Bombyx mori: one gene and its partners. The protein of the gene in region 2 binds, or shares a complex with, the protein of the main gene of each other region. Links are inferred from orthologs where the notes say so. Each region holds a gene or a part of one and is shown on either strand. Other genes may lie near its edges.

What was found. Proteins that work in one complex are often made in the same cells at the same time.
Region 1: the proteins of integrator complex subunit 4 (region 2) and integrator complex subunit 11 are in contact, whole or in part, in a cryo-EM structure (PDB 7SN8), measured with the Drosophila melanogaster proteins. The link is inferred for Bombyx mori from reciprocal best matches to the Drosophila melanogaster genes IntS4 and IntS11. Residues at the interface, in NP_572488.1 of Drosophila melanogaster: Arg226, Ser227, Gly228, Gln233, Lys256, Phe259, Tyr260, Asp262, Ser263, Gln264, Lys299, Asp300, Asp301, Cys349, Leu351, Lys380, Lys381, Ile437, Glu441, Glu443, Phe444, Leu445, Glu446, Arg448, Asp471, Phe472, Asp475, Asn478, Glu480, Ile481; in NP_651721.1 of Drosophila melanogaster: Thr182, Pro183, Arg185, Gly188, Ala189, Trp191, Ile192, Asp193, Lys194, Arg196, Ile210, Arg211, Asp212, Ser213, Lys214, Arg215, Arg258, Asn287, Gln288, Lys289, Lys292, Thr293, Met299, Gln400, Asn404, Asn469, Ala470, Pro472, Pro473, Pro475.
Region 3: the proteins of integrator complex subunit 4 (region 2) and integrator complex subunit 9 are in contact, whole or in part, in a cryo-EM structure (PDB 7SN8), measured with the Drosophila melanogaster proteins. The link is inferred for Bombyx mori from reciprocal best matches to the Drosophila melanogaster genes IntS4 and IntS9. Residues at the interface, in NP_572488.1 of Drosophila melanogaster: Arg105, Leu108, Val112, Thr115, Asp116, Asp147, Thr148, Ser149, Lys153, Glu156, Gln193, Met196, Arg200, His231, Lys234, Gln264, Asp265, Ser266, Arg269, Tyr302; in NP_648838.3 of Drosophila melanogaster: Arg2, Arg23, Met88, Lys90, Met91, Asp93, Glu96, Asp98, Arg173, Lys176, Asp203, Leu205, Gly206, Gly500, Glu501, Ile502, Arg504, Val544, Lys545, Asp546.

What each region holds. Positions count from the first base shown.
Region 1 is NC_085124.1:3,287,827-3,291,984, forward strand, and holds integrator complex subunit 11, read right to left. Parts: upstream 2,689-4,158; 5' UTR 2,378-2,688; coding exon 572-2,377; 3' UTR 501-571; downstream 1-500. Other genes in the region: probable tubulin polyglutamylase ttll-15, read left to right, coding at 379-492; GDP-mannose 4,6 dehydratase, read left to right, coding at 3,523-3,591. UniProt on the Drosophila melanogaster protein: RNA endonuclease component of the integrator complex, a multiprotein complex that terminates RNA polymerase II (Pol II) transcription in the promoter-proximal region of genes.
Region 2 is NC_085121.1:12,652,344-12,655,843, forward strand, and holds part of integrator complex subunit 4, read right to left. Parts: intron 2,354-3,500; coding exon 2,161-2,353; intron 1,392-2,160; coding exon 1,217-1,391; intron 900-1,216; coding exon 694-899; intron 1-693. UniProt on the Drosophila melanogaster protein: Component of the integrator complex, a multiprotein complex that terminates RNA polymerase II (Pol II) transcription in the promoter-proximal region of genes.
Region 3 is NC_085111.1:141,753-145,833, forward strand, and holds the start of integrator complex subunit 9, read right to left. Parts: upstream 2,801-4,081; 5' UTR 2,510-2,800; coding exon 2,501-2,509; intron 1,808-2,500; coding exon 1,616-1,807; intron 999-1,615; coding exon 796-998; intron 606-795; coding exon 1-605. UniProt on the Drosophila melanogaster protein: Component of the integrator complex, a multiprotein complex that terminates RNA polymerase II (Pol II) transcription in the promoter-proximal region of genes.

The DNA.
Region 1 (4,158 bases), on a different chromosome or scaffold from region 2:
TGTTATTCCTTCACCGTGGAAGTCATTCGTGAACATTTGTTGAGTACGTATTTCATTAGAAAAATTGGTACTTGCCTGGGATTCGAAAAACGGGTTATCGCTCAACACGAATGCACCGGACGTTTTATCCCTTAGGCCACGACGACTACATGTATAACGGACACCAATTTAAGATCGGTAGGTAGTGCAGAAGTAAGACACATTTTCTATGAGACTCATACTGTGGCACCATGGAAAAAGAATCCTAAACCATAAATCACCTTCCATTATTTTTAACCATAAAAAAGATGTTGCTTTGCATTTATAGAAACTTTCTTTTGTCCACACTAGGTGAAACTCAATATTGTATTTTATTGACATTTTATTTTTATATTCCAGAAAGCCAATGCTACTTTAAAAGAAGAGGACTTGAAGCACTTGAACAAACCAAACAGACTTCAGTACTTATGGTACCAGGGAAAATGCAATGTGGATATCACTTGGTGTACATAAAACAAATATTATTAACTAAAACTAATTTATTCAAAATTACAAAATAATTCATAATAAAAATCCTAAAACATGACATTTCTTATTCTTTCATTGGACTATATTGAACCATTGATTGCAGGAGCCCTAATATATAGCTACCTAAGTCTTCGTCTTGGTTTGTCCAAGAAACATAAATGTTTTTTGTGCTATCATCTTCACCTTCTACCTTGATGAGTACTGACTCAACTGATATGTTTCCTTCCGATATAGTTATAGTCCAGCCTTCTAATTTTTCCGTCAGTAAATTCTGCAATTTTTCAGCAGTCTTGATAGCTGGCCCCGGATCCTCAAAACGAACTGTACTTGTGAATCTAATGATATGCCTGTTTATTCCGATTTCATCACACATCTCATCAATGTCTAGTAATGATAGCCTGTTATCTTTCACACACAGAATCCCATTAACAACTCGCCTGCGTTTTGGATCAGGTGGTTGGGCATTGTATCTCACTGCTTCAGCTTTCAGCAACCTCAACGAGACATCAATAGGAATGGTTGTTGGAGTATTTATAACACATGTTTCACCATTAGCTGGCATAAAACAACTAATTTTGAATTCCTTCTCTATTTTATCTTTCAAAAACTCCATTTTTTGAGCTTCACCATGTACCAACAATACATTTTTGGGTTCACAATATTGTATCAATTGCATAATTCCTTTTGCATCAGCATGAGCTGAAAATGACATGTATTCTACTGCCATTTTAACTTCAACCACTTGTCTGTTTTCAAATTCAACCTTCTTTGCTCCATTGAGGATCTTGTGTCCGACTGTGCCTTGCACACAGAATCCTGGCATAATCACCATGTTCTGCTCATAAGGAGCCCATTTCTTAAAGATGTTTAGTGACAATCCAGCATGCAACATTCCAGGCGTAGCAAAAACTACCATAGCACCGGGATTATCAATGTATGTCTTGTCAAATGGTTTAATATGCTTAAAGTCAAACATATTTCTTTGAACAAATGTCTTTCTTATTTTTTGATTGGTCCATGTTATAAACATTTTATAGTAATTGTTTGCTTTTTCTGTCAGTCCAAGAGCAAAGTAAACTGGATATTTAAGATTCATACGATCCCAATATGTTTCCAATAAAATACAAAGTTCCTGTGCCCTTCCTAATGCAAACACCGGAATCAGAACCTTACCTCCTTTTTCTACACATTCATGAACTTTTTTGAGAAAATCTCTTTCACGACAGCGTTTTGAATCTCTTATGGTTGTTGCATATGTGGATTCTGTTATGAGCAGATCAGGTCTACATTTGTCAATCCAGGCGGCTCCTAAGTGCCTATCAGGTGTCATGTTGTAATCACCTGTGTAAACCACAGATTGTGACCCTACTCTGATCCAGAACATTGCAGCTCCTAAGACATGTCCTGCGTAATAAGCTTTGATTTCTAATTCATTATCCACCATTACTGATTGATGGAGAGTCACAGCTGTCACTTTTTTCATACAATCTTTAATCATTTGGGAAGTGAAGAAGTTTGACTCACCTTTGCGCTCCACTGCGACTTTCCTCATATCCTCGAGAAGGATTGGTGCTATGGCTTTAGTCGGGTGTGTCATGTAAATAGGGCCGGTATAACCAATCATTTCGGACATATAGGGCAGTGCACCGCAGTGATCTAGGTGAAAATGTGATATAATAACGCAGTCAATCTGACTCGTTATAGGGCCTTCCGGGACAATGTAAGAGAAATCAGGAAATCTTCTTTCATCGTTGTAGCCCATATGCATACCACAATCTAACATTATGTTTTTGCCACCCATGGTTAGCAAGATGCAGCTCCGACCAACATCCTGGCCCGCTCCGAGTGGCGTAATCTTAATATCCGGCATTATAAGTTTTACCACATCCAAGGAAGCTTATGAAAATATACGTTTCAAGATTATGAATATTAACGACACGAAATGATTCGCCAGTAGGTACCGTGGTGTATTAATAATCAGTACGATGTTTCATAAAAATAATTTATTACATACTGTTAAAACTCATTTAACCCTAAAACATGTTATTTATAAATAACAAACAATATTTTTTAAGTAATTTGCTGTTAATTATCATCACAATTCCGCAACATGGGTTGTATTATCTATAGTCACTAATGTCAAAGCGGTATGTGTATATCATTATTATTTTTTTAAGGTATTTTATGACCTGGTAACTAAGACTTTTAGGTCATGTCTTATTTTAATTTATATTCTTATTTTTATGAAAAATGATAAATGGAGTGAAATGAAATGAAGGTGATTAATTTGGGGCATTAATCAACTGGGATGAAATTAAATGAAAGGAGATGAAATGATATGGGATGAAATATAATCTCAGTAAAATGGCGGTCATTTACTGAGATTTTTCAGTAGACTTTTTGGAGGATCCAGAGAAGTTACGTCCAGCGGCTTGGCTTCATTTTCCCACATTTGTGCACTTTCACAGATATTAGGCAGTTAATAAACCAACGTTATTGTACATTTCAACCTGAAGAAACATTAAATAGACAAAATAAAACAAATCACTCAACTTCACTCCTCACGTTCCCACCAAAAAGTCGAAGTCAACAAGACATTACTTAAAGGTCTTAGTTATCAGGTCACAAATCCCTTAAAAAAATTGTGATAGTCTTTGTATGTATTGTTCTCAAATATATTAAGTGTATAATCTATGTGTATTATGTTGTGTTTTGGTTTAGGCTGTGCCATGGCTGTGCAAACAAAAGTGGGAATCGTATTACCAATTGAGCTTAAGTACTGATTTATAATATTTAACTTTATTGCAACACTAAAAATCGTTGTCTTAATTAATATCGTTTATTTATTCGACACCATTGAATTTCCTTAGGTTATGATTACTGTGTATAGCTTGTAAGTACTGTTGTGATAAGAGCCAAGAGAAACGCCTTATCAGCCAGAGCCGGTACCGAAGTGAGGACGTGTAAACTACATTTTCTATAACAATTTAAAATTTGATTGCCTAAAATTTGAATATGTCCGGAGATAGTTCTAATGTAATCGATCCGAAAAAAATTGCCTTAATAACTGGAATAACTGGCCAGGTATGTACTATCCTAAATGTTTAAAATGATTTTTTTACACGTACTTAATTTATTTAAATAATCATTCTGTTGAATTACCATAGCGGTACGTGTATCGTACCAAAAATTATTGTAAAAATAACAATGATTAAGAAATTAAAGTCGAAATCAAATTATATATATTTTTATTTTAACTCTTGGGTGTGCGGAGGGACTTCGCCGCTGAGGAATTTTTTGAGATGATACCATCATCTCGATTTTACCCTCACACCTACTACCTGGAGCCACTGAGTTCATCCACAGAGCATTTCCATCTTTTTTACCACGTACCATTCTGTTTTGGAATGAGCTCTCCTCATTTCCTGAACACTATGATATGTCCTTCTTCAAACGAGGTTTTTGGAGAGTACTTAGCGCTAGGCAGCGGAATGGCTCTGCCCCTGGCATTGCTGAAATCTATGGGCGACGGTAACCACTCACCATCAGGTGGGCGGTATGGCCAGAAAGAATAAAGAAAAAAAAACTTATTTTTTTTGTATCAAACTTCAGTGTTTGTGTCCAAACTTTACCTTGACAGTTTAATAATTA
Region 2 (3,500 bases):
TTCCAGTAAAAACTAAATTGCCCTTTTTCGTAGAAAGAGGTGAAGTTTGATGGTGGCAGATTTCTGTTTAGTTACTTAGGAAAAAAATTAGAAAATAACTTTCATTCTCTCTCTTTCTCTCGCCTTCTCTCTCTCTTTCTCTCGCCTTCTCTCTCTCTCTCTCTCTCTCTCTGCCATCAGGGAAAAGTGGTAATAGATGTCGTAGAGTCGCAGTTGTATTAATCACTGCTCCACCATCCATGAAAACGGAGCGCATGAGTTCTTCCTGAACAAACCAAGCAGGAGGGTGACTTGCGGGCTTCATAGCATCACAAGGACTGTGTGGCGACTCACTTACCCGCCACTTCATACCACTACTTGGGCAACCGCCTTTCAATTTTGGTAAAATCGCTGTCGCTTATGATTTTAGGCCAATCATACGCTATTTTTGTTCGGAACAGGTTCGGAGATGCTTCTTTACTTGCGTTTATTTAGAGTTACTTATGTGCTAATTTACCTATATTGTACATAAATCCAATCTTATATACAATATACGTAACCTAAAAGGCATAACAATATTCATTTTCTCTGTGCTACCTATCTTCCGAGTCAATGCCTAGACAATCTAGCCAGTTGAAGCAGCTTAACTACGGCTGCTCCTACAACTGTATTACAAATAGACTATTATCAGCTTCTAGTATCTCCGGGACTGACCTCCAAGGCTCCTAGTATGGTCTCCAGTAGGTCTTCTCTAAGTACGATATGATGCGAGATCCTCGTGAGGGCGTCGATGGCTCGCAGCCGCACTTCCTCGATCTCGTCATTGAACATGTCCACCAAAAAGTCGAGGGAGGTGGTCGCGAACACCGGGTTTTCTAGTGAGAGTTGACACAATGCTTCGACGGCTGCCGTGCGCACCTCTGGGAACATAAAGAACAATTAGAACAAATTATTACGTTGAAAACAATAATTAAATTCGATTATAAAAAATATTGTAAATCTTACAAGCCTTTATTTGTTATAGAAAAATTGATTAAATTTTATCACTTTGGGGTTTCTGAAAATATACTTTTTTTTAAATAAAGCCTGCGATGCTTAATATGTTATTGTCATCTACAGGAGCAATGAAAAACTAATCGAAGCGTAGCCATCTAGTGGCCGACGCCCATAAACATTTTTGTTGAGTGCTTGAGTTGCTTATCTATAACTAAATTATGTGTATTATCTATGCTCTGACCCATGAGTTCGTCCTCGAGTCCGTGCACAAAGGCGCCGGCCGCCCCGCCCGGCAGCAGCTGCACGGCGGCGGACGGCACCAGCGCGCCGGGCGCGTCGTCCGCCCAGCGCCGCCCGCTCGCCCACGCGCCGCTGCGGACCAGCTCCGCGCCGCGCTCGTGTGCTGTGCGCTTTTTCTGTATTATATTCAATTTACACTATAATTAAATGTGAATTAGATATGAGATAAAGCTAATGAGACCAAGGAAGGCTGCTTCCATGATCACGGTACAAACGCCACGCATATGCCTGGTGTTTTAACAAATAAATCACATTAAGACGTGGTCGAATTGACACGCGATATAATGATATTATGAATATAATGATATCAAATACGCCAGAATGAATGAGTACAATCAAAGACTTAATTGCGTTTTCTGTAATATAAATAAGAAAACAACATTTAAAGCCCTTAATCTGTATTTAAATTAATATTTTAAGCAGTATTATTATACTACTAGCTGTACCCGTCCGCTTCGCTAGGCATTTAAAATTAATATTATTATTTCTCACCCTCCAAAAAGATTCTTATCATTAACGCCCCCACAACTGGTGTAGGGAGTCCAACGCTCATATAAATATTAGCCTATCCATTAAGTACATGTATTTTCTACATGGATACCAAGTTTCAAGTCAATCGAATATATGGTTCAGTAATTATAACGGAACATCCGTAAAAGCCACTATAGATTTATAGATATAGATGCAAAACTGAACAAGTCACTTCATGGAATGACAGGTGAGTGCTTCCGTGCTCAGAAAAATCTAAAAAACTAAAAGAGCTTTAAAGGTTTTTCTTTACATGAATATTATAAGCGTTTTTGTGTGCGTTTCTAATCCATATAATGTCTGAACATATTTAAATGTGTATTTCAATGGTATATTTAGTGTTGGTTCCGTAATCACCTTCATGTTACTCATTAGTTGTTTATCGAGGGTCTGCAACAGGAAGCGATCGGAAACGGCGCGCGTGGTGCCGAGCAGCGTGCAGGCGAGCGCTCGCACTTGCATGCATAGATCGTTCACGGCCGAACATATGCGAACAAAAGCGTCATCGACCATTCGTATCGTGGTCTCGTCATCTTGTAACGTTATTACACTGAAAATAACAAAAAAAAAATCCTCAAATTCATTGTTCTGAGATGTATTGGAGAGGCACACATTATATATTTTGTTGTTGTTGTTTTGTTTATTGTTGGGTTTGTAATTGTGATTAAACAATTATCACTTACATACGAATCTATATACGATTAAGATTATTTCACTTAATTATAATCAATTAATAATAACATTAAAAAACGTTTGAAATAGAACTTAAAAGTTATGGTGATCATGAATCATGTAAACAATGTAAGACTTTTATTGCAAAGAAAGTCAATAACATTATTTAAAAAAAAAAACGAGTGTTGTTTTACATACTTTTTGACTATAAAAATAAACTCTCCTGGTGGCTCTCGAAGGGAGCGACAGTCTGGCAGACTTTTAAAATATTTTATATATACTTATTTATTTACTGAAATTTTTTATTCTTATTTACTTTTAATAAAAAAAAGTTGCCGACATATTAACTTTATTACAATTGCTTAATTAACACTAGATTTACCAGACCAGTCATTTTGACTGGTCGTGCAACTTCAATTCAAAATGACTACTACATTAAATATTTGCTTTCCAAATTGATGTTATAACTTTTGTAGGTATAAGTAGAGAATACATTTTATGAACTTAATTTTACTTTATATAATGTTAGTAACAAATATATTTTTTGTTATAACTATTTATACCAGAACCAGTCAAAATGACTGGTGCATGTTTCTAGGAAGAAATGTATGATTTCGGGAGAATCATGAGACCGTGAAAATACAAATAGTGCCCATGCTTCTTTTGTTCATTACGTTATCGTTATCGAGCCGATTTAGGCGATTACGGTATCTATACGATTTTTTTACGAGTACTTAGTCCAAGCGATCTCCAAACGTAATCATTCATCTTTACCCATACAGTGACACGTAATAAACATTTATGAGTATTTGAAAAATATTCAAATATATGTTGTTCAGCAAGTAGCCTGCATATCCTTAGCCCCTAAAAATGTCAAAACGAAAATTTGTACAGAGCTAGAAGCCTCTCGAGTTTTGGGGAAAACCTGGATAATCACGCAAGAAAAATTGAAGGCATTTCTTGTAATATTGTACGCACGTGGGGCATACGAAGGAAATACTTTGAGACTTCAATATTTGTGGAAT
Region 3 (4,081 bases), on a different chromosome or scaffold from region 2:
GCGACGCCTCGGCCGCCGGCGACACCACGTACAGCGGCACGTGCGCCAGCCCCGCCGTGTCCAGGTGCGCCGACAGGCACTCCAGCAGGTCGTACAGCACGCCGCTGGGGTACACGGGGCACAGCACGGAGCCGCCGGCGCGCAGCGTGACGGTGGCGTGCACGCACAGGTCGCCCAGCATGTGGTCCGGGTTGTGCGCCGGCGTCTGCGTGAGCGCGGCCAGCACCAGCAGGTCGGCGCCCCGCAGAGCCGCCTGGTTGATGGGGCGCGGGTGCGTGGTGAGCGTGCTGGAGCCGCTCACGTAGGCGACCTTCTCGTGGGCGGAGCGCAGCACCCAGTTGGCGGAGCCCAGACAGAAGCCGGAGCTGACGGCGGTGGCGTCGAGCGCGCCGTACAGGTCGACCTTCTCGTCGTAGCCGACCACGCGGACGCGCGCGAGGGCGCGGGCGACGTGGTGCGGGGCGAGCAGGCGGCGCCACGCGCGGGGCCGCACCACGTCGGCGAGGGGGGCGGGCAGCACGTGCACCGCCTCCTTCCAACGCTTGGCCGAGCCCGACCCCGACCCGCTTGAGCACACCCACTCCGACAGCTCCTCCAGGTAGAACCTCCAAATATATTATCTTTATTACATCTTTCTGCTGCTTCAATCCATTCTGATACTGTACTTTCAATAAGCATATTCTGTTTACAATAATATGGTGTTGTTATATACTCTATAACCATATATACAATACAGAAATGTATATTTTTTATCATTATACTTTTGAAGGCATAAAAAGAATAGAGAATGAATACCTTCCTATTTGTAGAGTAGGTTCAGTGGCATACACTTGGCCCTTGAAACCTGTATCTTCTGTTATAAAAGGCAGGGCCAGCATGCAAGTGTAATTTGAGATTAAAATTACATCTAGCTGAGAAAAATCGACTACTTTATCGAGAGGCGGACAAAACTCAGGCATGCTATCAACAAACACTCTGCCGCAACACTCCTTTAGTTCCTGTAATGAGATGGGTTAGTTTAAATATCACCTGATATTGATTCTGTTTTTATTATAAAGAAATATCATTAAATTTAACATGTTATTACTTATTTGACATAGGGTTTTTAATCATAGCATTGGAGTCAGATTTAAAATATGAGTCCCTTTGATTTTTTATATCAGAAATCTGTTGAATGCAGTTTGGAAGGTACGTGTAATGTAACTGAGAGATACAGTTGGATAAGTTTAAAAATTATTTTAATGAGGAGTTTTGAGTTTTTTATTAATTTAATGTTTGTATATAAAATAATTAATTGATGAAATGTGTTTTTTTGCTTAAAGACTGTACCTAATGGATTCACCAGAGAATAAGCATTCTGTGAGTATTAAAGCAGCATACTGACTATACCATATTTAGTGGTGGATTCAGTATCCTGTCTGTTTTTGCTGTGATTGCCTCTTGTTTGAAGAATGGAACAACCATCATACAATACAACTGAGAATTCAACTTCATGTTTCAAGGTGGGTGGTGGTAATAATGTTGTCATGACCAGAGACTCCAGTAACCACTTTATACCTAGGTACTGATATATAAATAATGATAATAAGAAATGTAATAAGCTTAATTTTTATACCCCTTCCAAGAGTGGATCATTGTGATGTGGTGGTGTGTAATTAGGCAGGGATGCGAGTCGAGTGCTAGGCACTGGAGGCAGCGGTAGGAAGTTGAGCACAGAGTGGGATGACAGCCCACAATCCAACATTATGAGGAGCTCTTTGAAAGACAACACAAAGCAAGGCTTCGCTGCATCATTGCTTAAACAATACTGTAATCAAATCAAACATTGTTTAAGGTAAGCACTGGTTATATTATTTATAAGTCAGGGGTCCATATGGTAATGCTCAATTAAACAGATATGCCAGAATAGTGGAGCCATCCTGGTATTTTAAAGCCACACCTATTTTTCTGTCCCTATAGTACCTGTATAACAGCTGTGATCTTAGAGTACACATAGAATGATTTATGACAATTTCAAACCATTCTACTTATTTCTGTTCAGACACAATCATGCATTCCGATTTAACTGGTTAGTCATTGGATCCAAGCAATCAATACTTCAATAGAAGAGAGGGACAAATTCTTAGAGGTATCATTCATCTTGTGGTGCCTTTAGTCTCTAGTATTAGGTTCATATCCCAAAAAGCTATGAAATAATCACTTAAACAAAATTGTATGTAAAAATTGTGGGGATGTGGGAGACTGCCTCTCTACCCAGGATATCATTACAGTAAAAACGTATGGGCTGTTCTTGTAAAATAATTTACTATATTAATAAACTACTTGCAAATGGAGCACTCCACTGCAATTTGGTTTGTTTTCGCGTCCTGCAGGTTTAATTCTAACACAATCTTCTAATAGTATGAATTCTAATATTATTTTTGTATTTTGTGTTTCAAGTTCAACTCTTACATATTTTTCAAGTGTTTTGAATAAATTAGTGAAGATATTGCATACTTACAAGCTTCATTATTAGTTTATATATTATATTTCGAATTTGCGGACGAATATTGTTTATTACTAAAGTATGTTTATGTATTAGTAACTGCTTTATCAATTTGTCCGGCTTCAATATTATTTTTGCTTAGGTTTGATGAACCGTTTATTCAGTGTATTGCATAGATAATACATAACTGTACAACATCATTAATTGAAATAAATGAATATTAGGTACATAAGTACTTTCAAAATAGCTAAACAAAATATATTTATATTATGTAGGTAGGTAGGTTCTAGTTACCTACCTACAGATATTATCTGTCAGATAAGCATTTGATTGTTTTAATCGACAGGCAAAGGGAGCATATTCAATACATACAACTAAATATTTGTAACAAACGAGTTATATCTGTTGTGTAAAAGTAAAATGAAACAAACGATATTAAATGTAATTCATTAATTAACAAAATTTGTACTACGGTTCCATATTCGTTGAATTTGTTATTCGGAAACAATGAAACTCGTTGCATTTGCATTCCTCGGGAAAAAGAGTTAGCCGTATCACTCTCTAGTCCATTTTTTTTCCTACCTATGCTGATAGCCGTGAGAGGCTATTTCAGCTTCGCCCTAACGTGTAGGTGAACTCACGGTGCTCAAACCGGAAGTATTGCTAACACTGGCCCTAGCAAGAGCAGAGAAACTCAGTGTGCTATGTCTATGGGTTAATTTACTCGTCGAGCCCTTCGTCACAAGCGACGGGTTCGGCGAGGACGGTGACCGGTGCTTGAGGTGTGTACTTAAAAGTACCGATAATGAATCGGGAGGATCCGTAATGACGTGTTTAGAGCGACGTCGACTTGTTACCGTTCGGTCCACAGGATCGGGTATGTCTATTTATTAAGCTATTTGTAAAACCTTTGGTAAGTAATATATTATGAACCATGAAATACATTGTTATTATTATACTGTACTGTATAGCAGATATACCTAGTGTTATTCCAGTCAAGTTTAGTGTGATAAAAATTAGATTATCTACTTGTCAATTCAGATTATAAATTATGTTGGTGGGAAGTCATATCCAAGTCCGTTATGCTATTATTGTACACAACATTTGTTACGTTGTTGTAGGTAATTATATATTTTATATGTATACAGTGTAAGTGTAAGAATAGTCGTCGTGGCCTAAGCGATAAGACGTCCGGTGCATTCGTGTTGAGCGATGCACCAGTGTTCGAATCTCAGGCGGGTACCAATTTTTCTAATGAAATACGTACTCAACAAATGTTTACGATTGACTTCCACGGTGAAGGAATAACATCGTGTAATAAAAATCAAACCCGCAAAATTATAATTTGCATAATTACTGGTGGTAGGACCTCTTGTGTGTCCGCGCGGGCGGTGCCACCGCCCTGCCTATTTCAGTCGTGAAGCAGTAATGCGTTTCGGTTTGAAGGGTGGGGCAGCCGTTGTAACTATACTGAGACCCTTAGAACTTATATCTCAAGGTTGGTGGCGCATTTACGTTGTAGATGTCTATGGGCTCCAGTAACCACTTAACACCAGGTGGGCTGTGAGCTCGTCCACCCATCCAAGCAATAAAAAA